Linked DNA regions of Tamandua tetradactyla. Each later gene encodes a partner of the first gene's protein in a complex. Links are inferred from orthologs where the notes say so. Each region holds a gene or a part of one and is shown on either strand. Other genes may lie near its edges. The genes, in order: GNAI3, RGS10, RGS2 and RGS8.

What was found.
Region 2: the proteins of GNAI3 (region 1) and RGS10 are in contact, whole or in part, in a crystal structure (PDB 2IHB), measured with the Homo sapiens proteins. The link is inferred for Tamandua tetradactyla from reciprocal best matches to the Homo sapiens genes GNAI3 and RGS10. Residues at the interface, in NP_006487.1 of Homo sapiens: Val71, Val72, Ser75, Glu115, Val179, Lys180, Thr181, Thr182, Gly183, Ile184, Val185, Gln204, Ser206, Glu207, Lys209, Lys210, His213, Ala235, Glu236; in NP_001005339.1 of Homo sapiens: Glu62, Phe63, Ser64, Glu66, Asn67, Ala102, Ser103, Ser104, Gln105, Val106, Asn107, Val108, Glu109, Gly110, Leu137, Lys139, Tyr140, Asp141, Ser142, Arg145.
Region 3: the proteins of GNAI3 (region 1) and RGS2 are in contact, whole or in part, in a crystal structure (PDB 2V4Z), measured with the Homo sapiens proteins. The link is inferred for Tamandua tetradactyla from reciprocal best matches to the Homo sapiens genes GNAI3 and RGS2. Residues at the interface, in NP_006487.1 of Homo sapiens: Val179, Lys180, Thr181, Thr182, Gly183, Ile184, Val185, Gln204, Ser206, Glu207, Lys209, Lys210, His213, Ala235, Glu236, Asp237, Glu238; in NP_002914.1 of Homo sapiens: Glu104, Phe105, Glu108, Asn109, Glu143, Ala144, Pro145, Glu147, Ile148, Asn149, Asp151, Phe152, Leu180, Asn183, Ser185, Arg188.
Region 4: the proteins of GNAI3 (region 1) and RGS8 are in contact, whole or in part, in a crystal structure (PDB 2ODE), measured with the Homo sapiens proteins. The link is inferred for Tamandua tetradactyla from reciprocal best matches to the Homo sapiens genes GNAI3 and RGS8. Residues at the interface, in NP_006487.1 of Homo sapiens: Glu65, Gln68, Ser75, Val179, Lys180, Thr181, Thr182, Gly183, Ile184, Val185, Gln204, Ser206, Glu207, Lys209, Lys210, His213, Ala235, Glu236, Asp237, Glu238; in NP_001095920.1 of Homo sapiens: Thr76, Glu77, Phe78, Ser79, Glu81, Asn82, Ala117, Pro118, Glu120, Val121, Asn122, Ile123, Asp124, Phe125, Gln126, Arg128, Leu153, Lys156, Asp157, Ser158, Arg161, Arg164.

Annotation. Positions count from the first base shown.
Region 1 is NC_135337.1:13,327,863-13,335,210, forward strand, and holds the start of GNAI3 (guanine nucleotide-binding protein G(i) subunit alpha-3), read right to left. Parts: upstream 3,005-7,348; 5' UTR 2,857-3,004; coding exon 2,739-2,856; intron 1-2,738. Other genes in the region: GPR61 (G-protein coupled receptor 61), read right to left, coding at 7,225-7,348. UniProt on the Homo sapiens protein: Heterotrimeric guanine nucleotide-binding proteins (G proteins) function as transducers downstream of G protein-coupled receptors (GPCRs) in numerous signaling cascades.
Region 2 is NC_135339.1:81,985,958-81,992,962, forward strand, and holds the start of RGS10 (regulator of G-protein signaling 10), read right to left. Parts: upstream 3,011-7,005; 5' UTR 2,929-3,010; coding exon 2,880-2,928; intron 1-2,879. UniProt on the Homo sapiens protein: Regulates G protein-coupled receptor signaling cascades, including signaling downstream of the muscarinic acetylcholine receptor CHRM2.
Region 3 is NC_135330.1:48,612,448-48,620,374, reverse strand, and holds the start of RGS2 (regulator of G-protein signaling 2), read right to left. Parts: upstream 3,011-7,927; 5' UTR 2,966-3,010; coding exon 2,856-2,965; intron 1,867-2,855; coding exon 1,765-1,866; intron 1,661-1,764; coding exon 1,599-1,660; intron 1,010-1,598; coding exon 843-1,009; intron 538-842; coding exon 343-537; 3' UTR 1-342. UniProt on the Homo sapiens protein: Regulates G protein-coupled receptor signaling cascades. Inhibits signal transduction by increasing the GTPase activity of G protein alpha subunits, thereby driving them into their inactive GDP-bound form.
Region 4 is NC_135330.1:37,511,798-37,519,062, forward strand, and holds the start of RGS8 (regulator of G-protein signaling 8), read right to left. Parts: upstream 3,002-7,265; 5' UTR 2,932-3,001; intron 1,009-2,931; 5' UTR 907-1,008; coding exon 881-906; intron 1-880. UniProt on the Homo sapiens protein: Regulates G protein-coupled receptor signaling cascades, including signaling via muscarinic acetylcholine receptor CHRM2 and dopamine receptor DRD2.

The DNA.
Region 1 (7,348 bases):
ATTTGACATATCAAGAGCTTCCCAAAAACATCTAAAGACATCAAAGATATATAACAAAGGAAAAATTGCCAATACTGAAGTCTTCCTTAACTAATTCTGTCCACAGTGGTTTCTTTATTTGAATTTCTCTAATATCTAGAATCTCTAACATTCATTTTGGCTTAATACTAACAAACAATACTAATAAATACTAATAAATAATTGTCATTGAGCTAGTACTATTTGACAAGCTGTATTCTACTTTACATTCTTATAATTAATCCTTATAGCAAATCTAAGAACCTTGATTTTCTCTGTTTTAACCATGAGGAAACTGAGAGAAAAAAACTGAATAAATCACTTTCCCAAGGTTAAAACTGGTAAATGGGAATTAAGACTTGAAGTAGTCTGACTTCAGAACCCACGTTATTAAGCACTATGCTAAGCTACATCTATGTAAAGAAGAAAATAAATTAATATTTACTAAATACCTATTATGGGCCAGGAGAGACAAGGGTAATGTAGACAGATCTCAAATTAACTAAGTTCTATAGTTTCACAGTGATGAAGTAAAAATGACTTGCACGCACATCAAAGGAGGTATTCTACGACAAAGAATTATTTGTGTACCATGACGGGTACCTTCTACTTACAGAAATAGCAAGGAAGATCATTTTAATTTCATATGTTTCTTATGATACAGTTGAAGCAAGAGCATTCGTCTCTCTGCAAGCTATCTGAACTTGCTCAAGAATACAAAAACACTTAAAAAATAATAAATCTGATAAAAATTCAAAACAAATGTTTTAGTAGTTTGATTTTTATTCACTGCTCTACAAGTTCCCTAAGTCATCATGTGTTTGATTTTGTTTTTAATTAGATACACTATTTATAAAGTCCTGAATAAAGATTTTTCTAGACATTTGAACAAGTTCTGCACGCCCAAGTTCTGCCTGCCAATTCCTGCCATCTGGAAGAATGCCTCACAGTTTATAACTACATTACAATAGGCCAATATCCTGCGAGGATTTCTGAAGATCAATGTAAATTAAAACACTCACAGAAGATAAGAATACACCTTTAATTTCATAACCAACTGATCAATAGAGAAAATGCCAATGCCTTGAGTGTTGTGGTTTATATTAAATATTTAAAAGGCCTCCAGGATCAATATCAACATTAACTGGCTCTTGCTGGTTAACAGCAAATATTTAAAAAACATCAACTACGTGCCAGGGATTGTGCTCATCCACAAATGATATCTATTATATAGTGGCAGTCTAGAACAATTAGAATTTATGCTTTCTGAAAGTTTGGGTATTCAAACTGGACGCTCAAGCTCCAGTGCCTAACTTTCCCCCTATGTCCAAATAAGTTGTTAACACAGCCTGTTCAACCTACAAACAACCAAATACGTTAACAAGAAGAGACAAGCAGGAATACCAGGCACATCCTGGAATACAAAAAAAGACAAGAGCTATGGTGGAGCATTCCCTCCTCCAGGGCAGAAAATTTGGCATTTTCCCTAAAGCAACTATTTTTGCTCCAAAGTCAAATGTTTTAAAAAGTAAAGTTGTTCTACTGCTTACAGAAATCATTACTCCTAATTATTCTTCTTTAACGGATCCCTAGAAAATACTAATAGTGAAGAAATGTGGCTTGATTTCTTGGGAAGCTAACGTCAAGGTACCTTATATGATTTATTGAGCCTCTAGAAGCCAGTTTCTCAAAAATTTTTAGACTAAGTCATGCTGAGTAAAGTGCATACAACTGTACATAAAAACCACTTAAAACCAATGCCCGGTAACATAAACAGTAAAAGCCAATATTTTGGTTTGAAGAGACCAGAAAAGATAAAAATAGTTCACAGAGCTCTGTCACAACCTTTACAGAAAACGTACAATTCCATATTTTATACTAAAATAGCTCCTTCATTCCCAGCGCACTATTCCGAGCAACTATTCGGCAACTCTCAACGTGTAATCTTTTACCCTCTACCTCTTTTGTCAAAACACAAGCATTCTTTAAATTCTTCAGCTGGTACCAACATCCACCCTTCTTTATAAAAAAAGGGGGGGTATGAAACCTTAAAAGAATACAAATGATAGAAAAAAGGGGTAAAGTATAAAGATAGCGTCAACACCCAAGGTCTTTTTCTTTAAACTAGAAAACTTGTCATTTCAACCACCTACCTTCATGTTCCTGGATAACTGAAGGCTCCTCCACCTTACAAATAGTTCAGAATGTTCCCTCTCTAACACGATAGGATCCCTGTGTGACCACCGTGTCCCAGCCTCTCTATTTATAATAATCATTCAAGTCTCCCAGCTTTATCCTGTCATTAAAACTCACAAGCCATTAAACAAGCCCAACACATCATACTCTACCGCGTCCTCACTCAATACACCAACCCCATACAAAACCTTCCCTAATATCAGCTCTTCCTTTAGGCATGTCCCATGTTTCTATCAAAGTCCAAATATCCTATCGCCCCACGCTCCCAAATTCTCTTTGCTAAACGCAATTCCAGCAAGGAGTCACACCCTCTACAGCCTAATTCCTACAACCCCAAAGCCCCACCCCTTCATCACGCCCTCCCGGCCTCAGCCACCAACCCCAACACCCCGCCCCAAGTCCGTCGCGCTCTCTAGATCCCATCGGGGTACTTTCCGCTGACCTGACGTGAGCCCCCGCCTCAGGCCTCCCCAAATGTCTAGGCCCTCCCGACCACCTCACCGGCCCCGCCCTGGGACCCTCACCAAGTAGCAGCAGCTTCACTTCTTTGGCTGCTTTTTCCCCGTCCTCTCGCAAGTTGCGGTCGATCATCTTGCTCCGCTCCACCGCCGCCTTGTCTTCGGCGCTCAACGTGCAGCCCATGGCGGCGGCGGGAGAGGGGACAGGGCCCGGACACACTCACACACCGCGGGAACTGCGGTTCGAGCGACAGAGACAGCGTCTGCTGCTGGGCGGCGGCCCTCTCTGTAGGCTCCCGGAGAGCCCGGAGAAAACGGATATCCGGTGTTTGCGACACTTCCGGAGACGCCCCGCGGCCGTCCCCTTTCAAATCTCTAGCTTGGGAACAGAAGAGGTGAACGAAAACGGAAGTGCTGGGAATAGAGGCGACGCGGGGCGGTGGTTCGTGAAGCTGCGAGGTCCTGTGGAGCCAATTGTACGCCACCCGAGCTTAGTCCCTTTTTCCCTTTTCGGCTGCTTGTTTTCCATAACTATAGACAAACCCGGGCTTGGCTTCTCCAGCTCTTAGAGGCCTCCCGACGTCACACAGCAGAGTTTGGACCTGGGTGGGTGTGGCGATTGGGGTGTAATTCCCAGGTTAAGAACGACTAGCCCTCACCCAGAGCTTTGCTGGTGCAATCTATCGATCCTGACCGGAAGGCTTCTTTGCTCTCTGGCGGTAGAGATCTGGGCCTGCCCAAGTTTAGATCCTATCCTCCTCCAGGGTCGTTTCAGCCAGGTTCTATAGGATGGGAACAAACTGCCTAGCTTGGGCCCCGGCCACGCCTCACATCTGATATCAGTAACACCAATCGTGCGGGGGGGTTAGCGATCCCTTTCTGCCCTCTGCTCGACTCACTGCCTCCTCCTTTCAAAGTGTATCGTGGTCCTTGTGCCATTACTTACACTGTGGGCTTGGGAATTACCCAGCTCTTATGTTGACTGAGGGCCATTTGCAATCACCAACTGATACCCTGTAACCTGAAAATTAAGCGTGTAGTTCCTGCTTAAAATTTGCTTGCTGCCCTTCTTCCCAATATAAGCCAATTATAGCGTTTACAGATGTCTTGGGTTAGGGGCTTAGGACTTGTGCCAAAATTAGTCACCCTCAGCCCCTCCTCCAAAACCACCCATTGCGGCCTGTAAAACTCCTAAAATTTCCTGTTGTACCACACAAAAAGGGAAGTTTTAGTAAAGCTTGACTTTCAGCTCAAGTGTCACCTGAAGATAAGTAAATCCCTGTGAAAGCCCAGACTGATACCCTTTCACAGGTAACCCTGAGTACTAGTGTGAAAATGCCCTAAATTTCTTTCACTGACAAATACCCCCCTCAGTGTCTTCACCATAATTTCTCAGGAGGAAGACTCTTTTGTAGATCCCAAAATCTTTGCCTGTGATTAAAAATTATTTCATTACCCTAATAGAATTTAAACCTTAGGATCTAAGGTTCCCAGCAGAAACGTTTATATGGTGATTGATTAATTAGAGTGATTCCTTGAGAGCCACCTTAGACTGCATCACCCACCATAACTCTTATCAATGCCAATTCTTCAAAGTTTGAAAAGTCTCCCATTCATTCCAGACTGACTCTTAGGATGAAAGGGACAGTTTTTTCATAATCAATATTTCTGGGGAAAAAGGGCAAGAGGAAAGGGAAGAAAAACCAATATTTATTGAGTGCCTATATGCCAGGTAAGGCTAGTGCTTCCATGTTTCATCTCTTAATCCTCACAACAACCCTGTGAGGTAGGTAATATTATCCCCATTTTTACAGATGAGGAAATAGGCTCAGAGAAAATTAAGCAGCTTTCCCATGTTCACACAGTGAGTACTAGATCTGACTCCAAATTTGCCCCTTTTCTACCATGCCCCTATATGACGTTAATTGAGAAGATCTGACAAGAGAGGATCTATAATTTTCACGTAAGACTGGGAGTCACCCTGACACTACCAGGAAGCCAAAAAGAATTGACAAGATAGGTTCCCCAATCTGTTGATTCTTCAATGATTGGAAAGTTCAAGTTTTGTCCAGGAATAGCTTCCGAGCTAAGGATTACATATTAAATTTTTATCGGGTTATTCTGGTGACTAGAAAACTGGGAAGTGACCATGTTTGAAATTGTTGGGCAGGTTCTCAGCATAACAGAAGAGTCTCTTTCATTATGCCCTTGGACAGAGAAGAATAAATGGCAAGTGAACCCATATATGTCAAACTATAATAAACGCTAGTGAGATCACAGTGTCAGGAAATTTCAGTCTGAACTAGAGAAATCCTTGCAATTAAAACTTTCTTCTTTGATGTATGTGAAGGAAAGGTTAGAGGGCAAAACCAAAAGAAAAGGCAAAATAAATTAATAAAATGGCTGCCAGACGTTTAATGGTTTAATGCCAACACCACCCACCACCACCCCTAGGATACGCCCCTTTCCTATTTCCACTGGACTCATACTGCCACCTGCTGGCAATACTTAGGGTCTACTAGCTGATCAGGGGTTTTAGGAAGAATAGTTTCCCCCCACCATCTAGGAATGAAATTCCTCAGTGTGAATTTACCTCAAAATGGAGGAGAGAGGGGAGTAAAGTACATGTTTTTAATCACAAAGGACTCCCCTCCCTGGATATACTATCTTTCTAAGGGATTTCCTCAATATAGTAGGCACTAAACTGGAGGAGTAAATGGTAGGAAGACAGAAACCTGGAAATTTTCCTAGGTGAAGAGGGGAAAAGGAAGGTTTGCTCAGTTTCCTTTCTTTACTTTCTTCACTAGAGAATTTTCATTTACAACCCCCATCCTTTCCACAATCTGCAGTAAGCCTCAGTGTAGATATTTTGCTGCAATGGACTCAACTCTGAAAAGTTAGAACCCTGGATATATTCTCCACTCTATTTCTTGAATATTTTCTACAGTGCTTTACCAGCTGTAAATCCCTGTAAAGTACAATATATCTGATCAAATTAGACTATGAACTCCTTGAAGGCAGTGACCACACATCCTCTCTGTAAGTCCCAGGGGATATGGGTATCCAAATATTATGCACTGAGTGGAACTGATAGAGTCAATGTTGATATCAGTATAGTCTTTTATAATAAAAATTATTTATTGGCTATTCAAAGGGGAAACTATCCCACTCCCACCATCCCATTTTCCCCATTAACATTGAGTCAGGCGTTATTCAAATGCAGACACACCACCATGCTGTCCGTGACTCTTTAGTGTCACCTGACTGTATTGACGGAAATGGGGTAGACAGGTAGTCCCACATCCTGTCCAGTTTGCAGTTATTCCCCTTCACTTGAAAATTTGGTTGATCCATGCGTTGGCCACCACTACCAACCAACACAGTTCCTACTGAATCAAACCGTGGAAAGCTGAGCCCAACTCCTGTGCCCTGTCTCCAACCCAGAGCTGCATACTGGAGAGAGATTTAAGTTTTTGTTATGAAGCTAATTTTGAGCACGATGAATGAAAGGGAGAAATTTAATGGACCATGGAAACCCCACCTTTCCCATGCCCAACCTTAGTCTCTTGTACCCTATTGTCCAGAGGGCTGGAGGTGGAGTCACTGCCATGAGGAGAAAGATCAGGGAGGTCATTCCTGGAAGGAAAAGGTGATCAGTATTATTGATCAAGGTGATTATCTGGTCCCTTTGTACCCAGTCACCTTAGCAATTCAAATGTTAGTCCCCCTACCCCCAGCTTTCTGACTCTGAAATGAGGGGGGAAAAAGCCATCCCTGTCTTATTTTTGCCTTTGCTGAGATTAAGCCTCAATCTTGGTCTCCAGGCATGGAAGAGAAACAGGGAAATAGAGCAAAAGGACTGTTCTTGAAGAGCGGAAGAGAGAAGCTGCAGTCAGCTTTCCTGTTTCCTACTCCATATACCCTGATTGCTACCTTCTCCTTACTTCTGGTAAAACTCAGAAAACTGGTAGAGAGAAATATATCCAACTGGTTCTCTCACTTTAAAGAAATATCAGGTATAAAACTAGAAAATCATCTATTAACTCAAATGGAAACACTTGGCTGTAATTTAATACTTGTTAAGCCTACCAAGGAGATGAGAAGACAGATCATTTTCTTACTTTGCTTGGGTGCAGTTACTGCCCTGGATAATTACACTGAAAAATAAAATATTCTGAATGGCCCCAGAATAAGGCCAAACCTGGCCTATATCCTTCAAATCCTACCCTTACAGAGCTTCCCTGCTGCCTGAGGCATGGAAAGTTCCCCAGTTGAGAGGCTTCACCTCACCTTTGTGACCTTTTCTCTCATCAGTGTCTCACCACTCCCGGGTTCCCTCCCCCAGTCATCAAGGCTCTCAGCCAAGTCCAAGGACTTTTGTCATATGTCCAACCTGTTGACTCTGTTCTTGACCCAGGAAATTCTCATCAAAAGATGGGTTCAGAGACCCTGTCCCGGCCCCTCCCAGCTGGGAAAAGGTGATCCCACAAGGTGGTCCTCGCAATCATAACCAACCCCCAACCCCATCTCCCTCCAAACATCCAGTAACCCATCATGATTCCTGCCGGGGTGAGGGGGCAGGATGGAGGTAGCTGTCCGACATGATGATGTCGCTAGTGAGTTGCTGTTCCAGGAACTCAGAGGTCTCCTCAGCTATCTGGCCTGGAATTCGAAAG
Region 2 (7,005 bases), on another chromosome or scaffold:
GCTGCGGGCCCCTGGCCCTGCCACCCTGTCCCTGCAGACAGGCCCGCTTCTCCCTGCCTAAGCAGCAGACCCGGGCCAGTGACTTTGCTCAGGGAAGGTTTTCCCAACTGCCAAGGCCGCCCAGCTGCTGGGTTGTTAAAACAAGGCCACTGAGTTGCTATGCGGGCTGTCGTTTTTAACTAAAAACATGGGTGCACGGGTGGTTCAGTGGCAGAATGCTCACCTTCCATACGGGAGACCCAGGTTTGATTCCCGGAACATGCACCCCACCAAAAAAACAACAACAACTACAACAAGACTGGGGATAAACCTGAAAATGTTCCCAAGGGTTTAATGGCCAAGGTGAAATGGGCAGGGTGGAGGGCAGGTGTGGGAATTCCCCTGACAGGTCATTTCCCCCACCCCCTGACTCCTGGTCCCCCACTACCACCCTTCCGGTTGGGGGGTTGGGGGGGATATAGCTTGGACTTTGTTTTTTCAGGTGAGCAGCTTTCCAGGGCAAGTCTTTGGGTGGGGGGAGCAGGGTGAGTAGACAGAATCCTTGGGCATCATCACACCTCAGTGGCACAAGACTCGATTGGGGGGGGGCTTGCTGAAAATGCACCCTCCTCTCCCCCTCGTCCTCAAGACTGAGTCAGTGGGCCTGGGAAGCTGCATTTTATCAAGCCCCTCCACACCCGACATGGTTGGTGGGACACACTTGAGGAACCTTGAAGAAAGAATAGAGGAACCCCACTTTGAACTTTGGAAGGAGGGGTTAAGGACTGAGAACCCTCACCCTAAAGACATTGCCATTTGTAGGGTTTTGCTGAAAAGCATGAAAGGTCTAAAGCAGGAAGTGCTGGAGGAACCAGGATCACAACCAGGCCTAAATCAGAGGTCCTGCTTAAACGCGGGGCCTGGAACTTATATAATTTGGGGAGCCCTATTTAGGAAGAATAATTCAAGATTACAAAAAAAAAAAAAAAAACTACAGAGCCTGGAAGGGGCACATGTGAGTGAGGGGCCACACAGCTGGCTTCCCAGTAACCCCACCTCTGGGCTCACTCTGCCCTCTTCTTACTTGGTCCCTTCCTGTCCTGTTGCTCAGTGATGACCAAACTGGTCAGTGGCTCACCTGTCCCTTCCCATCAGGTGGACAGACTTTAAACCAAAAAATCTCAAGGAAGTTGGGCTCCCAGAGTCCAGGCATCCAACAGTGATCTAGAAGCTTTGCTACTGCCCCATCTACCAGAGACCAAACCACATTTCATCAGCCTTCTAATGTGTTACCTGAGAGAGGTACGTTCCACTGATGTCCCTAAAATTGCCCCTGGTCTTCCTGGGGAGCAATCTGGCCGCAGGCAACAGCATCCCCAAACCACGTTTCTCCCATAATTCAGTTCTAGTTGTAACTGATTCTCACAAGCCAGTGTGAGCCAGCTCCAGCACACTCAGGAAACAGAGGCACAGAGAGCTCAGGTAATTTGCTCAGGGTGGCTGGACTGAGAATGAAGGATGCAGTGTTGGCTCCGTCCAATCCCGTGAATGCCCAACAATAGGCGAGGGATAGAATTCACACTCAAAAGAGAATCCTTTAACTCAAATGCAACATGAAAATGCTTACGGGACAATTACACTAATTCAGCACTTACTGTGTGTTGGGCAACAATTTAAGCTCCTTACAATAACCCTATGAAGACTGCACTTATATTTAATGGGATGATTTGCATAAATTGGTGGGTGGTGTATAATTGGTGGCTGCTCCAATTAAGTGCTTAAAGAAGGGTAACTATGATTGTGCCCATTTTGCAGATCTTTATCTGCAGGGAGGCACGGAGAGGTCAGGGCTGTAAGGGGTTGGAGGTGGGATTCCACCCAGGCAATCCTTTAGCAGTCCATACTCTTAACCACAATGCCCCTCATAAAACACGGTAAGTGAAGTAAGGGCCCAGAATAACATGTACCGACTCTCAGTACCAGGCAGAAGCAAATCCTGGAATAAAGCCTCTGAACTCCGGAGCCAAGCAAACCAGGGTTTGAACGTGATCTGCCGCAAGGTACCTAACAGCTCCGGGCTCCAGTTTCGTCCTCAATCAGTGGCACTAACAATACTTATCTTCCAGGGCCTTCTAGGGGTGAAGGGACAAGTCATAGAACGTGGTGGATACAGCCCCCAGCCCACATTAAGCGTCCAAAGGCTGGCAGCTATTGTTATGAACGAAAAAGGTAAGAGGCTTTTGGAATCAAGCGTATGGTGTAATCTTCACCGTGGGTTCTCTGCCCTATCAAGTTGCTCGAAATGGGAACTCAGGCAGGTTCAGAACGTGACAGCCAGGCCGAATCCTTCGAAACACCAGCGCTTCTCCCGCTCGATCTACAGATGGCTCCTTCTCCATCTGTCGTTCGCCCACCTTCACAGCTCCCCATTTCGGCTCCGCAGGGCAGAACTGAAGGCCCGCGGCGCTGCAGGCCAGGCTGCGCGTTGGATGCCCGCGGTCCAGCCGCGCCTCCTCCGGGCGCCCATCGAGCATCGTTCCCACCAGCGCCGGCAGCGGGGACAGAGAAGTCCAGAAAGGAACCCAGATCCCACACCACCTCCAAAGTTTCGGGGAAGTTTCGCATCTCCTTTATCTCCCAGACGCTCACTAAAAAGAAAACGGCTGCTGTTCCTCTTTCAGTCAAACTTCCTCCCCGGAGCGCATCTCCCGGGCTCTGCGCTGTCGTCGCGGATGCGACCGCGAGGCCGCGGGTCGCAGCGGTGAGAAGTGGCGCGTCTGTCGGGGCTGCCGTCGGGCGGCAGAGGCGAGCCGCGCCCGAGCCCCGGAGGGAGGGAAGGATGTCTGTGGTGGGCGGCGCCCGACCCCTCACCCGCGGGGTCCCCGGAGCCGCTCGCTTACCTGACGGCGGCCTCTTCCTGCTCAGCCGGCTCACGGCGCGGTTAAACATCGCCGCCGGCGCCCGGGAAGGGAAGGAGGAGCAGCCCGGAGGCGCGGTGGCAGAGCCCCGGGAAGGCGAGGAGGAGGAGGACGACGACGACCGGGAGGAGGAGCTGCGCTCAGCACCGCCCCGGCGCGCCGCCCCCGCCCCGCCACCCTCCTTCTCGCCAGGCGCCGCGTGGCGCGCTTGGTGCACGCTGCCGGCCCCCGCTCCGGCGGGGCCCCTGGGTACCAGGGCGGGGCAGGTCGGCTCGCGGTGTCCCCCGGCCTCCTGGAGCTGACCCCGCACCCAGAGGAAGCCCGCGCCGCCCCGGACTTCAAGAACCGGGCCGAGGCTGCTCGCGCGTCCCCAGGCCCCTCGCTCCAGTTGCCGCCCCGGCTCCGGCCCGCCCTGCGCCCCACTCGGCGTCCACCCCGGCCTGCCACCTACTCCCTGCAACCGGGAGGAAACGCGCTCCCTGCGCGCCTTCGCGGCTGCGGCCCACCGAGCCCCGCGGGCTGGCCGGCAGAGATCCCTCCCGGCTCACAGACGGGAAGCGGAGTACGAGAGGCCTCGCTCGCCCTGCAGACGGGTGCTCGGTCCCCGGGATCAGGGAACCCGGTGCGCCCCGACCTGCAGCGCCCCGGATCCCTTCCCCACCGCCCCTTCACCCCCACCGCGGGCTCGGTGCACGCCGACCCCACCCCCACCCCCACCCCCACGGCCGCTAATGCAGGTGGAGCGTCTCCAGGGGCACCCTCCCCGTAAAGGGCCGCGCGGGCTCCTTGGCCTTGAGGATCCAGCGGCCGGCCTCGAGGGAATTGTGCACTAACCCGGCGGGTCCCATTGCGGAGCGACGGCCCTCCCGCGTGCACCGGCCCGACTGGGGCACTTCGCTAACTTTGGGGACGAGTGGACGCAGCTTCCGGAGGGGCCTTTGCGCTCAAAGAACCAGATCACTCTGGTCCCGCTGCGCCCTCGTCCTGATTTCTCCTCTCCCGGGGCGGGTCACCTGCTCGGCGCCGCGCGCTGCACTCTCATTATGATCTTAATTCATCTGCACAATAGCCCAAGAGAGCGGGCCATCAGCCCCATTTTCTTGTGCATTTGGTTTGCGAAAGATTGTGTTTTTGGCGAGTCTTATTTTTCTCCTTCTGTAGCTGGCTTTGTCTCTAAATTGGTCTTTATTTTTAGCTGTACTAATTGCTATTTTTCTAAACCGCTCCCCAGTCGCCGCCACCCCCCACCCCACCCCTTCCTTTCACAGTTTTCTCACTAGTTGGCACTTTCTTTTATATCTTCTATTCTAAGCTTTCCCTTCCGCTAATTTCCCTCCCTCCCTCTAACCACCACCCCCATCCCAATTCCCCCCATCCCACCCCCCACCCCCATCTCTGTCCTTTTCTGGTTCACTCCCATTTCTCTCTCTGTCCTTCCCACCCTCCGGACTTTTTGTTCTCTGGATAAGTCTGAGCACTCTCGCTGTCGGCCGCCGGGCGAGGTTTCTGGGCTCCTGAAGGTGACGGGGCTTTCCAGCTGGGCCTGGAGGACCCCCGGGTGGTGATGAACTGGGTTTGAGCCTAGCGGGTCCAGTCTGCTGCGGGCAAACCTCGGGAGCTCTCGGAGCGATGGGGCCGGGCTCACCAGGGGCGTCCATCCGTTGTAAGCGGACGCAGCCTCTTAAAACTATACGCAGAAGTTTCACCTATTGTAAGGAGGATTGTTTAAACACTGGCAGAGGCCTGGTTCCCAAAGAGGTCACCGCCTTCTCATAATAACAAGGGAATTCGTGCAGCATGCTTCTCCAGAAAAGTTGTCCGAAAACCAAATTATAAGTAATCCTAACTCAGGAAATAAGGAGCAGACCACAATGAGGTAAAACTTAGGCACAGCCAGCTAAATTTTTATTTTCAATGCCAGGTCCACCACACCCTGTCCTGAAAAGCCCCGGTGTGGCGTGGCACATGCTATGAATATGAACTCTGGGCCTCTCTAAAATAAAGAGAATATATAACCATGTCAAATCACTTTTACTGCTCTGCTAGCTTAACAGACAGTAAGTACGAACATAAAGACCAGTGACTGAGGCATAGGATACATAGTTTAAATTTTTTGTTTTGGAACATGGACCTTTTTCACAGAATCCCTATGAATACCTGTTTTAAGTGTCTTAGGTATGTGAAAGCCAGTTTACAATGTGATTGTGCAGAAGGCCATGTATAAAAATATGAAGCCTCGCAGGTTCTAATGCTTGCCAAAGAAAACACATGCAGTGCACACACAATCAATGCATGAGTAAGTTCTGCTGATGGTTTGCACTTGGACTGAAGATGCTCACTATCCCAATAGCATCACTCCTCTCAGTTCAGCATCCACTTCCTGTAGCACCTCCTGAGCCCTCACAGATCATCTTGGCCACATCTTGGGCAAGAAGAAGACAAGCAGATTGTCCTGTCTTCCCCCGGTGGTGGAGCCTTCCCATCAGTGACAGATCAAAGAGCAAGGGCCCTGGATGTCCTCTGGTGTTGCAGAATTTCAGAGTGTTCATGACTTGAGAGTTCCGAAATTTTTATTGCACTCAGGAACTTTAAAACTTGGTAAGCTATGGATATATTTAGAGTATTTTATAGTGAGGACAGATAGATATAATTAACAGAATATAGATGTAAATAACCTTATTCTAGGCCAGATGAGGCAGGTAAGATCTAGTAAAATAAGTAAATAAATAAGTCCTCAACTTGAAGTTAAGAGTACTGTGCATTTGACCTGACCATGTGGCAAACCAGCTGTGTGTCCTTAAACACAGAGCCTCATGGGATTGAACCAGGAAAAGATACCACCTACCTTCTAAGGGTGTGGTGTTCAACAGCAGTAAACAAGAAAGCATCGGGCACAGTGCCCAGCACATGTAGGCACTCAAAAAATTACTGGAATCTGAATTACTCTTGCTCCCTTTACAATGCTGTATTAATAAATAATAAGCTTTAGCCTACACCCAGCGAAAACTGGCTTTTTTTTTTTTTAATTATAGAAAGTTGCCAGGGTTAGTAACAATTTGGAGCAAAGGACACTCCCCATGATGAAAGAAGGAAAGTAAATTGTTACAACCTCTCTGGAAGGCAAGAGAGGCAGATCCATTAAGATGCATATTTGGCAATATGCATAAGAACCTTCAAAATGTTTAAACCTGTTAGTCCTGTGGCTAATTCTACAACTGGTAATTCATGCTAAAGAAAGAATAAGAGATGCAAAGGTTTATGTGCAAAGTTGTGCAATATAACATTCCTTTTATGTGTGCTATTTATAATAAGTGTGAATGTCCACGAATGGAATGGTTATGTTACATTCCTATGTATATTCCTATAATGGAATATTTAACAGTTGCAAAAAAAAAAATGTGTGAAGAATATTTAGTGATGTGGAACAATGCTTAGGATGAAAGTTTCCTGGAAAAGATCATGAGAGAAATTCAGAAAAAAATTTCAAGGAAAGGGGGGAATACATAACGTGTCATGTGTAGAAAGATTGGAGGAAACCACACCAAAATGCTACTAGCATTCATTGGTAGATAATGAGATAATAGTTTATTTTAATTTTTATTAATATATGTCCCTGTTTTGCAAAATTTCTGCAGTGTTTATACTTTTAAATCAGGAAAACAATTAGTAGTGAGCAGCCGGTCAACATCTCTACTAGGTTTAATTCTACAGAGTATCTAAGCCTCCATTTTTGCAACACTAGTTTTGCTTTCTTAAAACTCTTAAGTTCCTAAGGAAGGACCAAATTGGGCACCAATTGCTTCTCCCATCTTCGATCCCCCTGCATTTCACAAGTCACACATTCATGTCATGTGCAGTGGGTTGAGAATAGTGTCCCCCCAAATTCTTTAACACCCAGAACCTTAGAATCTGATCTTATCTGGAAATAGGGTCTTTACAGATGTGTTTAGTTAAGATGTGGCCATACAGAATAAGGGTGGTCCTACAGTCAATGAATAGTGTCCTTATAAAAAGGCATGTCCTTATAGGAAGACACACAGAGGACAGCCCCGTGAAGACGAAAGCAGAGATTGAAGAGATGCAGCTTTAAGGCCAGGAGGACGGAGGG
Region 3 (7,927 bases), on another chromosome or scaffold:
AATCCCAGACCTATTGATTTTAAGTGCTTCTGGATCAACTATATCATATGGTATCTTTCACTTCACATCCCTGCATTTCCAGTGGGAGATGCACCAGATTCAGAGCACATATTCCCTCTGTGTTCTATGCACAGTGAGGGAAGTCATTTCAATGCAAGCTTCTCCTACACTGTTACGAGCTTCCTCATTTACTACCCAACTGTGAATCAATAGTTCTGAGTGATGTTTCCTAAACACCCAGGCTGAATCCAAGGTCAGTCGTTGGGGTTTTGAGCAGATCACAGCCTTTCCCCTTAGGAAAAATAATGCAAAGTTCTCCATTTTTTGGCCCCCTTTTTCATCTCATGTTGCATGGGGCTCTGTAGTGATCTGTGGCTTTTTACACAAGTCTTGGTAGAATTCTGATTCCAAGAAACGGGGATAAGAGTTGTTCTCCATCAAGCTGTATACCCTTTTCTGGGCAGTTGTAAAGCAGCCACTTGTAGCCTCTTGTATATTTTGAGCAATCAATGTTTTGGTTTGAAAGTCTATGTTTATCTGAAATAAAACAGAAAATTGGTTTAGTTAATACTCAGAGTTAGAGATATGGAAATCTATTTAGTATTTGTAAAAAACAAAACAAACTAAAACCCCAAACTATAATGTCTGATTAGCTTCCCCCAGGCAGTCTTTGGAGAAACTTCAGTGAAAACTAGGATGGGGAGGAGGGGATGGATTCCTCCTACCATCACTCCCCATCCTTTTGACATCCCTTTGGTTATGATTTCACTTTGGTGCTAAAGATTTAAAAAATATTTTTCACTGTATTAGTGAAGGAGGAATTTTTTTAAATTTTTTTTTACCTCTTTTGGAGCTTCCTTTTCTATGAAGTCAGTATATATTTTCCTTGCTTTTGAGGACAGCTTTTGGGGTGACTTGGTTTTTTTGAAGTCTTCACAGGCCAGCCAGAACTCAATATTTTCTTCACAGAATTCAGATTTTAAAAAAGCCCTGAATGCAGCAAGACCATCTGAAGGGAAAAAAAAGCATGCACAATGTGAAAAAAAAGAGTGACCAAATAATCTCTTATTTTTTTATTTGTAGTACTTCCCCTCCCCCCATATTTTAATTACTTCTAGATGATAGTAATTTTCTAGATTTCACTCAAACTTGTAATCCTCAGATTTAGCTCTTTAATTTAAAGGCTAAGATGCCAGCAAGCAAACTGTTTATGGTGGCACACTGCTATAAAAATACAAAAACTTAACTTTGCTATCAATGCAAAATAAATACTTACAGGAGAGCCATAATTCTCTGGGAACTAAGCTGTTAGAAAATATTGTCTGCAATGGAAAAGCTGACTCACCCTTAAACTAAGAGTAACTGCCACTTTAATTTTTTTTAGGCTAATTTTCCCTCCATCTTGACTGAATATATGGTTAAACATGGTTTAACCCTGGAAACATCGGAAAATAGGAAATGAGAATAAAATTGGCCTTATGCTACAGTGATTGTACAGTCTAACTCCCATCAGACAAACTGCTGTTCTGTTGAGTGGACACTACCTTCCTAGACTCCTGTGACACTTGAAATGGATCAAATATAAGAAGTTAACTTACATTTACTGGCTAGCAGCTCATCGAATGCTTCTGACCACAGCTGTGCTTCCTCTGGAGAAGGCCTGCAAGACAAGCGCTGCACATTAGCTTGTGTATATCAGAGTTCCTCTTTTCAGTCCAGCATCTACAGATTCGTATTTGTAAGTATAGGATTTTTTTTACTTACTTAATAAGAGTTTGCTGTTTGCTCTTCTTCCCAATTTTGGGCTTCCCAGGAGTAGAGGAATTTTGCAAGAAGTAGCTCAAACGGGTCTTCCAATCTTTTAAACTTAAAAAAACAAAAACAAAACCCAGGTTACTCACTAAGAGGCAACCCTTGAAAATGCTACTGCAGCTGAATGTATTTCTACCAAAGTCATCCAGTAGCTACAGACAAGCCAAATAAAACCAAGTAATTTCTCTCCAAGTGAGACAAATTTTACCCATTTAATGTTAAATCCAGTTTCATCCATCAATCTGAACATAACAGTCTTATAAGTAAAGGAAGGACTACCTTAAATCACTTAAAGTCCCCAGGTATTTTAATGAATTATTTCTTGTACTTCAAAGGGCAGGTGCTACTTCTGGCCGGCAAAAGGCAGGCCGTTTCTTTGCAAAGCTAGGTACAACTCTAGGACATTTCACCCTTGATGAAAACAACAGAGGAACTGCCTTTAACAGACCCACTTATTTTCCTTCCACTTTTAAAGCAGGAGATTCCCAAAGTAAGCCAAAGGCTGCGTACAAAGAGGTGTGCGTGATTTCTCTCTCTCGTCTCTGCTCAACTACAGCACCGATTTTAAGCAGATGCTACAGAACAATCGTTTGTTACACAGTCGTGAGTGGGTTAGGTCTACTCTTCAATTAAAAGGCAATAATAGCTTTAAAAGGAGTATATTCAGAACCAGCATCAGCTGCATAAGCTGATCAGTACTCAATGTTGGGGACGCGCTTCGGCCGCAGCTGACATTTAATCTCTGATGTCATTTTAAATGCAGGGGCCAAAAACAAGAAAGACAAAATAAGCCGCGATTTCCTGGCGTCTACCAACTACCTGGTCATCCGTCGCTCATGCAACAAAATAACTATATACCCCCAAATACAGATTTAGCCTTAATTTGGCCAATGAACCTTTCCACAATTTTTGTTTCTGCAGAGACGCAGGCGATATCGTTTCCTACAGTCAAAGCCGAAACCATTCTACTGCATTTGCACAAACCGGGAGAACGAGCCCCGCAGGGTGGGAGCTGGTGGGGGAAAGGAGAACGCGGTACTTACAGGGTCCGCTTCATCTTCTCCCGCTTCTCTTCGCTCTTGGGGCCGCTGCCAGCGTTTTTGTCCATAGGTCTGCAGTCGTGCTGGACGGCCAAGAACATAGCACTTTGCATTATCGTCCTCTCGAGCCAACAGCCTGCGCTCGGCCGCGCGCCGCAGTATTTATGAGAGGCAGAGGCGAAGGGACGGAACCTCCCGGCGCCCGCCCCGCCCCCAGGGGGCGCGGATTGGCCGCCTGACGGGCACAGGGCGGGGCCAGCGCGAGCTCGCGGCTGTCACGGCCGCCAGCGAAGGGTCTCGTAACGGGGGCGCTGCTGACGTCGGCGGCCCCCGGCTTCGTGCGCAGTGGAGCCAAAATGGGCGGCTGGGCGGGGGCCGCGGTGGGGCGAGAGTTCGCCCTGTGACAGGTCGCCGGCGACCTTTGCTCGGGGTGGCGACCTGGTGGGATCCGAGGCTGTGCGGGTGGGCTGCCCCGTCCCTTACCCCCCGCCCCCGACGTGTTCCTCATCCCCAGAACGGGAGTGATGATTCCCCAGCAGGGAAAGGTGGCTTGCTGCGAGCCAGAGTGCCATTGCCTCGTATTGAATTAACAGGTTTCTCTTCCTCGTTTGAGTGCGCGCCCTGTGCCTGCGCCGCATTTGTTGTTTACACAACTTCCCTAGCAACTCAGCTGAGACCATCTGTGGAGTAAACCCGGGCGCCGGGGAGATTCTCGCTCGTGCCTCTCCTTGATTTGCTGGAAGAAACTGAACAGGAGAAACCTGAAACCTTGACGGCCCGTGGGCTTATATGGTGTGACTTGTTTTACAGCTTGCCTAGGCATTTGGAATATTTGGGGGAATGGACATTAGACAGGGAGGGAACAGGAGAAAGTGACTATCAGATGACAGTGCTGAAATTGCTTTTGCATTCTGAGCTCTACCACTAGACACAGCTGGGTACGTTCGTGGGATTGCGGGGTTATTCCTCAGGGAATCCCAGGCCTCCTCTCTTTCCAAAACAGGAATCACTGATCTCTTTTTGGTGACTTGAGAGAGAGGGAACCATCGAGATCTGGAGGCTGGAATGTTCCGGAATCATTCTAGTTTAAGTTCGCCAGTAGGCAGAATTTCCACGAGTCATTTTTGGTTGGCTTAGAATTTACCAGAACACTTAATTAGAAAAAGGAAGGAAAATTTAATAGTTTGCTTAAGTAAGTTTCATGTGTTCTTCAAAAACTCATCTCTGTCTACTCCTGCAGTCTTTAAAGTAGCTTAATTAGCAAGGAGAAATAGATCACCTCAGCCACAGAATGATTTGATTTTGGAAAACAGCATTGCCAGAACTGTAATGTAACTGGAAAATTCAAGTGGTTTTCCCACCAAGCATCTAATTCCACAGTAAGATTAACAGCAAGCTATTGGCTGGCCTGCAAATATTCTCCCAACTTTGCATTAGAACTGTTAAAAGAAAATTGGAACTAATGACCTTGCTTTTTTCAGTATTTAGAGCTCAATGTTTGATGAGGAAGCAAAATCTGCAATCATTACTAAAGAGAACAGTTAGGTACTCTATTATGGAAAGGAAAATCAGTTAGATTTTGGTAGTAGATGCTATAAAATGTTTATGAAATGTGAGAATGTCATTTTTCTCTAGTGTATTCCCTTCAGCTCTAAAAGAATTCACATTTCTTCTTTTTTCACTTGCCTTTTCTTGATAATATGAACCTCAATATTTGTTTCACTTGGAACCTAGAATAGTAGAATTCACTCATAGACAGTTGAAAAGTAGGGTTTCTAACAAGGATGCAGCAGGGAGAGAGAGCTGACTTGGTGCTAGAAAACCTAACTGGACTCTCAGCTTAACCAATAAATACCAAGTAACTGTTGGGGCAGTTACTCCACCATCTGCTTGAGCAGCAACAACTCATCTGTAAGGAAAATAATGTGTCTTTCTTGCTAATCTCATAGGATATCATGCAAATCTTATGTGAAAGTCCTCTATAAATTCTAAAGTGCTATAGCAAAACTTGTTATTAATTTGTATATATGTGGAAAAGGAAATGTTCAGAGATATAGCTATTCATGGTGGAAAAATAAAGAATTAACTCAGCTAATTTGGTTATAAATACTTAAGTACTGTTAAGATAGAAAGATAATGTCATAGAGATTTGTACAGAATCAAATTTATAACAGTTAGTTTTAAATTAAATTTTTTGAGAAGCTGTAGGCTTACAGAAAATTCATGCAGAAAATACAGAATTCCCATATATCCTTCTCCACATTATCACCTTGCATTAGGGTGGTGCCTTTATTGTAATTGATGAAAGAATATTACTATGATTGTACTATTAACCACAATAGCTATTTAATAAGTGCTCTCGATATGGCAGGAAAATAAGCAAGCATTAACATTTCAACTTATCAGAGATTTCCAAGTCACAGAGGTTCAATCATCTCAACATAGTCACAAAAGTGAATATACATGTATGCATGTAAACAACTGGTGTTTAAATACAGACTATCCTGAGTGTTCTGTAAGTGTTTAATATATTTGCTTTTTTCACAAACCCTTTTCAAATTAACAACTGATGTTAAATGGCAGAATTTATTTTTCCCTGAAAATTATGTGGTTGATTGATAAATCTGAATGTAAATGTTAAGAGTTAAGGCAATACCTGCTACGGACTGAGTAAACTTTTTGTGAAAAAGGTACTCCTTAAAGTGGCTTTTTAAAAGATTAGCAGACCTTTAGTACTATAATTAAAGGAAAGGCTACAACATTTGATGACGTCCCTTTTCTTGTTGTCGTCTTTTTTTGTTTGTTTTTGTTGTTATAATGACTTTTAGGTAAATGGGATTGCTCAAGATGAGCATGACACATTTTCCATTCTGCGGTGGAAACAGCGGAATAGGTTTGCACAGCTAAACCGCAGCTTGAGAGTGACATAACCATCCATTTTTCAGGTTGAATCTACCATGCCCTCTACTGGAAAGGTTTTCTGATTGAACACATTAGCGGTATAGGTTCTCAGTGTGGTTCCTGAGCTTGTTTGGTATTTGTTTTAAATTTCAAAAAAGATATGCAAAAAATACAAATTTTTAACAATACCAAGGGGAAAATATGACAAGCGTCCCCTCTGTCATATTCCGTTATTTTCCCATCTCCCACTCTATGCTAGCCATCATTAATCAAGTTTTATTAATCATAACTAGCAAAAATATTTATGCATAATAACTCCCATGTTTTAGACATTTAGGAGCTAAGATACATGGTTTAAAAAAGCGCAAAGGGATCATACTTTCTATTAATCTGTGCTTTGATTTTAGCTAGGTTATCTTAGTTCCTGAATTTGTAAAGGCTATAAACCTGTCGCTTACCTTATGAAATCTTTCATGTGTGGTAAGTTAAAAAAAAGGAAGAAAAAACTAGAAAATTAAACCCTGTGTAGTAAAGGGTATGATAAGTAATTGGAAAAAATGAAAACTTTTAGTACTCGGTGGACTATATTTGAGGAAGTGTGATACCTTTTTTTTTTCGTCAAATTTAACTTTTGTTAGTGAGGTATTCTTTTCATCCAGTGAACAGAAGACCAGACAAGATTCTGTACTCAATTCCTTCCCCCAATAGGAGGTGAGATTTAAAAATCATGTCTTTATTACAATGCAGTTTCCTATTCAGAAGCTGAAAAGAGAGAAAATTAGTGTCTTTGTCAGGAATGAGAGGTTAAAGAGAATACTTGACACGCATTATAGAAGAGTTAATAATTTTTATCAATTCTTATATTGATAATTCCGTTTAGAACCCTTTCTTGGTTCTACCATGAATTTATCCATGGTATGAGGTAAGTTGTACATCTTCAAATGCAGGCAGGGCCAACTTAAATTTAATAGACCTTTCCTTACTGAGCACCTGGATTCCCTTTGGAAACCAATGACAGGAACATCATGAAGTTTTGTTTTACATTGTTTTCTGAATAAAAACACTAGCATATATTGAAATACCACTAAGCTTTTTTGTTATTAGATCTGTAAGTTAAAGAACCGTAAATATGAGGTCTAAATTTGGGATTTATTTCCATTGTATGCTCATTGCTTCTTTCTCTTTTGTGACGTTGGGCTACACAGAATCCCAGGGGAGAGTAAGTGGTTATAAATGCTTTTTTATAAATGTTGCTCTATTTATAACCAGTAACTGCTCTAAGTTAAATAGGTGGCCTATTTTCTACAAAATAAAGAGGCAAGGCTAGGTATTTTTTTTTCCTGGAAGTTCTTTTGCCTGGGATTTTAATTTCTGTGCATTGAATTTGTAGAAAGTCATTACATGTGTACGTGTGTGTGTGTGTGTGTGTGTGTGTGTGTGTGTATTAGGGGGCAGTTCTATCCCAGCCTGCAGCCTTTCCCTGGGACCCACAAATACATCCTGTGCTCAGGACCAAGTATGTCAGCCTGGCAGGATAAAACACAAATCCCTAGTAGGTAAGGGGACTGCTAGTACATTTCTTCCCCTGTTGTTTTGAGCATATGTAAATGTTTCAGGTGGGCATGTTTTACTACATCCAGCTAACATCCAGGTGGTATATCCGTCTCTGGAGGGGAGGGGGTGGAGTTCCTCCACTGTGGCAGCACACAAACACAAGAAAAAGGATATTGTTTTCAGAACGGCACCCTGCTTAGCCCATGGATTGAGACCTGCTGGCTATGGGGAACCAGCTGACCTTACTTTGTGGAGCTTGTGAAGCTGACCTTGCTTTGTCTCTTCTGTATGTGAGTAAAATGTCTTTCCATAAATGCCTGTATGAGTTTTGCTTTTGCTGGAGATCCAACCCCTGTATTGGATTGGGTTGACATCTTTTTAGATGCTCTCCTGACTATACACACACGCATACACACACACACACACACACACACACATATGTATATAGTTATATGTATATATTATATATATATTATTGAATATACTGTTCTATTGACTGCTGTTTTGAAAATTTGGCATACCAAGTTCATAATATACTTAATACAAAAATTCAAACGCTTGTTTAAATATCATTCACTGAGAATTCCCTATCCCTCCTTTTTTTTTTTTGCATGGGCAGG
Region 4 (7,265 bases), on another chromosome or scaffold:
CTGTGAAGCCATCTATTTCAAAGCATCAGCTGTGGCCAGTCTCGCTCTGGAGGCGGGGAACATCTAATGCATCTGCTCTCTCTTACAAATCACAGGATGCGATGACACAGCCCGTGAACTCAAGCAAGGGTCCTGCTCAGGCTGCACCATAGGCCAGAACTCAACTCTCAGCAAGTTGGTTCATTTTTCTGTGTCTCAGAATCATCAATCATAAAACAGTCAGGTCACTGCCCCCAAGAAGCAATTAAAAGGACTTTCAAAAAGTGGCAAATTCCTGCCTGCTATTTAACAAGGTTTAGAGGGGCCAGTGTAAAGGGAGTTCCTTGTCACCAGAACAATTGTGATTCTCCCGCATAGTTTGTCGAAATTTTCAACGAGATATTCTTTGGGACAAAATGATTTTTCATTTTCCATCTTATCTAGCTGAGCTCTCAGTTATAAATATGTTAGGTCTGAAATAACCAAAGCAAATGCAAGAGCCAAAGGTCAAAATTACATTTTTTTTTTTTTAGAAAACGAGGCTGGCTTGTCCTCATTTTTCTTCTCCCCGCAGCTCCTGTCCCAGTAAACTCATAGAGGTGCCTAAATGGTTCAAGACGAGCTCATGCACAGTCCTTCATCCCAACCCATAAGTCATTGCCAAGGCATCGCACCAGTCAGTGGGAGGCTTGGAACGAAGGCAGTTCCTTCTTGCAAGGCCACAACTTTGCAAGAAACACACCAAGTAAGAAGACAGCACAAGAGGAAGCCTAGGGGAAGGGACGCAGGTGGATCACCCATGGAATTCGAACGCTTGGGCCAGGCTCAAGCAGCAGGGGAGGTGGGAAGTTGGAGAAAAGAGGAAAGGGCAGGGCAAGGAAACAGCTTATTGATCAGTTACCTCCGTGGCATCAGTAAGGCAGCCATACAGGCATCCACTTATGGTTAACCCTTTAGCTGGCTTGCAGGGGCGTCAGGACAGGAGATAAGACTGCAGGGCAGAGGGCTTGCCCTTTCACGTCCTCTCACCTAAAATCAAAGAATCTGCTGTAAGGGGGGGGGGACCCTCTCTTATCTGACTGCACTAGATAGACCCTCTCAAATGGCTTTCCACCATAGGAACCCCCACCACCACCACCAGCGCACACATACACATCCCATTCCCTAAAAAGGTCTACTGCACCTCAGCAGGGGGTTCTGGTCGGTGAGAGACCAACCAAGGACTGATAAGAACAAATTGTTAAGTAGCTTCACAGGAGCTGTCATTTCTCCAACCCCAGACATCAACGGTAAAATGGGACATGTGCCCCAGGGAAAGGATGAGTCTGGCACACCAAAAATTACCACGCCTCTCTCTTACTAGAGAGGGGGCCCAAATGACCAGCCAGCAAAGGGAGAAAGGGGGCTGGGCGGCGAGCGCTTGCTCTGAAATGATCTGATTGGGTGCAGTTCTGATTTTGCCTCCCTCCGACTGTTCCAGAAGGTGAGAGTGTGTGAAGCTTTGGGGAGGCGGGAGAGGGAGGAAGGATGGGGAAACTCCAACGGAGGCTTGCCGGGCCCTGTCACCCCACAGGCTTGTTCCTGTGCAAGGAGCACATGTGCAGGCTGAAGAGATGAATATGCAAGCCTCTCTTTCTTGCTCATTGGAGGCCACCGGACCTTCCTGAGCCCGGGGACAGGCCCGTTCTTGACCCAGAGCAGGGAGGGACATCAGGAAAGGGGACACGAGGTTGAAGGCTGATTGACTTACAATCTCTCTCTCCTGAGGGTCCCATTCTCTGTGCTTCAAACCCTTTGTTCCCACAGAAGGTAAGCGATGGGGAGAAACCCGTGAAGAGATCAGCCTATCCATAAAGGGGATCCCTGGGGAACTGCACACCAAACACAGAATCGCTTTAAAGGAAACCTAATTTAGATAGAGAAGGCTCCTCCTGTTGGAGCTATGCCATTTAAGTTATTTTGATATTACCCTGAACATTTCACAAATACTTTTAAAAATTACTTCTTTGATAATGCTATAATTAATAAAATGAAGAGGTGGCTTTGTCAAACCCTCCCCCAAATCAGACTTTTTTGCAAAGGTTCCTCCTCAGGAGACTGAGCACGGATGGTGTTGCCTAACAGCAGGGGTGCCTCCTAAAATCTTTGTCCTAACCAGGCCCACGCCCTGCTTGCCCAGTAGTTAGGGAATCAAAACCCTTTACTTCTACGGGGATCCTCAGAAATCATGTTTGGGGCACCCAAGCATCACTCTCTCTGGCTTGTGGGATATAGCCCCCCCTAAGGAAGAGGGACTACCACACCCGGGTCCTTCAGTTCCTGGGAGCTAAGCAGACCCAGGGACTGCTACTCACAGACTGAGCAGAGCAGACAAGGTCATTTGGAGCCGGGGATCCCCGCGTCCTCACTCTCCTCCCATCCCCACCATCAGCCTGCACTGGTTGCCTGCTTCTCTCTCTTCCGGATCTAGCCCTGTCCATCGCTGCCCCTCAGACCCCCCACCATCTCTTTGATGAGCTCAGCTTTGGACTCCTTTAAATAAGAATCAGCAGTACACTGTGACCCCAGCTTCCTTGTCCATCCCAGTGTCTCGGGCGGTTCTCCCATGTGGCCCTAGACTCATGGGGCACACAGTTTGAGATTACCCAAAATCCAGAAGGCCAAGGACATGATTGCACACACAGCCCATATGCTCTTGTGGGTGGGTATCAAGTTATAGGTGACTCTGGGGTGGAAAGGATAGGACATAATAGAAAAGAGGATACTTAAAGAAAAAACAAAGGTTAAAAGCTAAGCGCAAAGATGTATAAAGAGGGGAAGAGAAACTGAGAGCCTCAGAGGGGAGAAAGCAATCAGTATGCATGGAGAGGCAGGTTAATTAAATATGGATAATGCAATCAGCCCACACAGACACCCTGGAGAGGAAAGAGGAAAAGCAAAAGCAATACTCACTGTCTTTGACCAGTCCTCATGGCCTGCGGGTCCCTGCCAACTGGATGATCAGAGAGGCTGCGAGTTAAGGAGCTCTGGGGAAAGAGCAGATTTTTCTTTTAGCAGTCAAATCCTTGGCGGTGAAGGGCCTGTGTGCATGCACGCCGAGGCACATGCAGAGGCACACGCACATGCACAACCCACCTCCCACCGCTTGAGCCAGGCAGCCAGCAGCTCCGCTGAAAGCTCTTCTCTCCGCTCCTCACATCCAGTAAATCCTGAAGCAGCCTACACCCAGCGGGCGGCTCGGCTTCCAGGCACAGTCTACCCGCCCGTCCTCATTGGCGGGATGCAGGAGGTGCCCCCAGCAGAGCTCGCCTGGCACTGCTCCCGCACCTTCCTCCTCAGCCTCACCAACCCGCTTCCCTGCTCCTTTGGCTGCAGCTCAGGCAGAAGTCACCACTACCCAAAGCCGCCTTCCTCTACACCCAGAGGCTGTGCAGAGGGCAGCGAGGCTGGAGGTGTTAACTCCTTCTGGCCACCAATGGGCTGAAAATCAAGTGTCCAGGGTGCTCTCCTAATGAGCTCTGCTGCTGCTAGCTGAAGGCTGGTTGGTGCTCGGGGAGCAGGGAGCATAAAGATCTTGCCCCAGACAGCTGCTGACGGCAGGAGCCAAGCCGAATCAAATCTCCTAATGAGCCAGGAAGGGGGTGGGGGGGGGGGTGGGGGCTGTCTTGCTGGGTGTGATGTGATGTGATAAATGCAGAGAGCAAGAAAGCTACGGGGCAGGTCACACATCTAAATTCCACCCCCTTTCTCCCAATTTCTATCACGCCGCTCTACCAAGCCAAACTGCACAGCCCTGAAATTACCCCCTCTGCCACATCTCAGCTGTCCCCCATACTCTACAAAGGCATTTCTCTCCCTGCCCATTCCCACTTCTTCCCCCCACCCCACCCCAGCGCCAACTACACCCCTCCCCATTTCTTAATGAGACATTTCCACCTCAGCCTCCCCAAACATGCATATTTCCAATTCTGAGCTCTTGCCTCTAACCTGGCTTTTCCTACAGTGGAAATTCACCTCTCTCTCATCCATCACCTAGCAACTCCCCCTACTTGCATTTGTTACAGAGTGAGACTTTTTCCTTTGTTCTGCCCAATCTGCATGGTACTCCTATTTTTCTGGCTTTTGTTTTTTCCCTCCCATCTTCCTTATTCACATAGACCTTCAGACTGACTATTTCAGTCCCAGAAAGAAGAATCTTTGTTTCGTTTGCCCTAGTTCACTGATTTTGCAAATGTAGTCCCTGGACCAAAAACATCAACATCACCTGGGAAGATGCTAGAAATGCAAATTTCCACGCCCCACTCCAGACCTACAGATTCAGAAACTCTGGGTATGGGGTCCAGCCCTCCAGAACCATCACACGATTCTGAGGCATGTGAAAGTTTGAGAACCACTGCCCTAGAATAAAGCTTACCTTCTCGTCATTACTCTCTTGGCCTCTAAGGCTGAATCTCCTGCTCCCACTCAGATACTAGCTCCAAATATGCCTCGCCTTGTTGCAAGTCATTTTGAAACCCAGAAGGCAGTATTTTCTAGAGGCAGCAGAAATTTTTACAGAAAGTGATGGCTTTATAATAAAGATAATAGCTTACATCTGTTGAACCTTTTACAATGTAAAAGACATTCCTGTGGCAATCCCATACCACAGTGGAAGACGGTATTATTATCCCTGTGCTACAGAAGAGAAACTTGAGGCTAGAAAAGGTCAAGTACTTTTTTCCAAGTAACACAACAAGTTAGAGACAGCACAAGGACCAGAACTTGTGTCTTATGATTCCTACAGCAGAGCTTTTTCTACTACGCCATGCTAGGACGCAGCTTTTCCTGTCAGATCTAGTGGTGCATAATCTGTATTTGTGCAGTGAAATGATTCTGCCACGACTACTCATTGCCTGCTAATAGGATGAAATAAAAATTCTGATGCTGCCTCCACAGTGACTCGCTGTCTCTCTCTGACAATGTCCACGGTGCCCCTCTATTAGGCAAAGGAGGCTTGGTGTTATAAAATGAGAGTTTTCCATTCCTCATGGAAACCCGTTGAACTGTAATGCTAGCTGGGGTTTAGAACTTAAGCAGAAAAAGGATCTTTCACTTCTGGACATTTTCCTGACACACTGTACCATAAGAAATGAGTACACAGGTCAACTGGTGAATAAAAGCCCTTTGACAAGTACTTACCTAACCCAAGCTATTTTTAGACCATAAGGAGACTCCACTCCTGCACCCACACACATAATGTTTAATGAGCACCTACTATGTGCTAGCACTGTCCTAAGCATTGTGCTCATGTTGTCTTATTTAATTCTCATCACAAACTTGCAAGGGCTGATACCTTTATCATCCCCGTTTTACAGATGAGAAAAACCAGAAACAAGTCATAAATTAGCGGCAGATCTGATGTCTGATACCAAACCTGGTGCCTCCAGCCACTGAACCACTTTAACACAAAGATAGTGTCTTTGTGGGACTTTTCTCTATCAGTGCTAAAGTGATTGAATAAAGTTTTCCTCAAGTCTGATATCCAGGAATCAAAGCCACTGAGGGGATAGGGGAGAGCAGCAGACGGGCTCTAGGGGAAGCTGACAAATATTTCCAGTCATCGGAATCTGAATTAGCCTTTAGAGAAATAATGTCGTCCCAGAAAGGTAATAAACCCACCCAAAATGTTTAAGGAAAGATATGGTAATTAGTGAAGTTTAAAGGAAGTGAGTGGGAAAAAAGAGGGGAAGGACAAGAGTGTATTGACACACATACAGCATGGGCAAAAAAAGAGAAAATTAAAACTAGTTCAAACCTTTTAACCAAAACACTTTTAACTGCCAAGGAGTAACCACAAGGTGCCCCAATTTGGAAGGCACAAACCCAGTCCAGCCCCTTCTCGTCGGAGGTCTCTAACTGAACCTGCCCGTAGAGGCAGGTGCAGAAAGAACTCTGGGAACAAGGGGGAAGGGGGTTGGTTATCAAGCTAAACCTAAATTGAGCATGGTAGCACTGGCTTCCTTCTGGAGGGACCAGTAAGAGAGGCGAGGAGAGCTGGGACTCCTTCAATCAGGAAAAGGGAGGTAGGTTGGCATGTTTATCAGAAATGAACTCACCTACTCAGACTCTGAATTCCCTGGGCCCAGGGATGTAGAGTTCTGGATTCTTATCAGGGTACTGGCCCTCAGTTGTTGGTTGAAGTCTGGGAACATGCCATATCAATTGGCCACGACTCACATTTTTCCCGCAGAAAACAATGATTTCAAGCCCCACTCTTGCTTCTCAGGTTGCCCTTCACCTTTGCACTTGCTGCTCTACAGGCTCCCGTTCTATACACTGCTGCATTCCAGAATCAGTGCTTTGATCCTGCCTCTCTTAAGCCCCATTCTGCTTTTGCAAAGGTCTGCTGGACAGCTCCCTACGCCTCCAAACCTGCGGTTCTAATGAATCTGAAACCACCGCCTTTCCCCTCAAATCCTCCAGCCTCCCAGCTCATCTGTGTTCATGACATCCTTGTGTCCTAATGCCTCTGGCTAAACACTGCAGTTTAGTTTTGGCTTCTTTTTCTCCATTCCCCTTGCTGAATCGGTTTCCAGCTCTTGCCATTACATTTCCAAAATATTTCTCAACTTCACTCTTGAACATCCATCGACACTGCAGCGTCAGAGGTTATTCAGTGCTCGGCACAGTGCATGCCCTCCCCACTTCCTCCTAAATAAATGATCTTCCCACCTTCGGTCTCCCCCCAGCCCCCACAAACCTTCTCAGACAGTACACTACAGCCATAGTCACCCACTGTCAGGGGAATAATCCTCCTTAGGACGCAGGCACAAAGCTAATGTTTAATGAACACTTACTATGTGACTGGAACTATGCTAAACAAAGCAGTTGCATTTGTATTTAATTCTCACAACAAAGTTACAAGGCTGACACCTTCAAGTGACAGATACCGTTAAGTGATTCATCTGTGTGAGAACCTTAGTGAGCCCCACTGCAGCCCCTTGTCCTGCCAGATACTCCAAGCCATCCATAAATTGGTCCCATTTACCTGTCCAGTCTTATATCCCCTTGCATGCATGCACCCATGCACACACACACACACGCATGCACGCGCACACGCACACACACACAGGCCTCATTCCTCAGGCTGTTCCCTCTGCCCAGAATGTCCTCACCCTGGATCTGCTTGTAAACTCCCAGCTCCTTCTCTAAGCACAACACCTCCAAACTGAAACAAAACAAAACAAAACAAAACAAAAGCCTCCTTTCCAAAGCTTTCTCAGCACTCTTTCAATCAGAAGGGACCC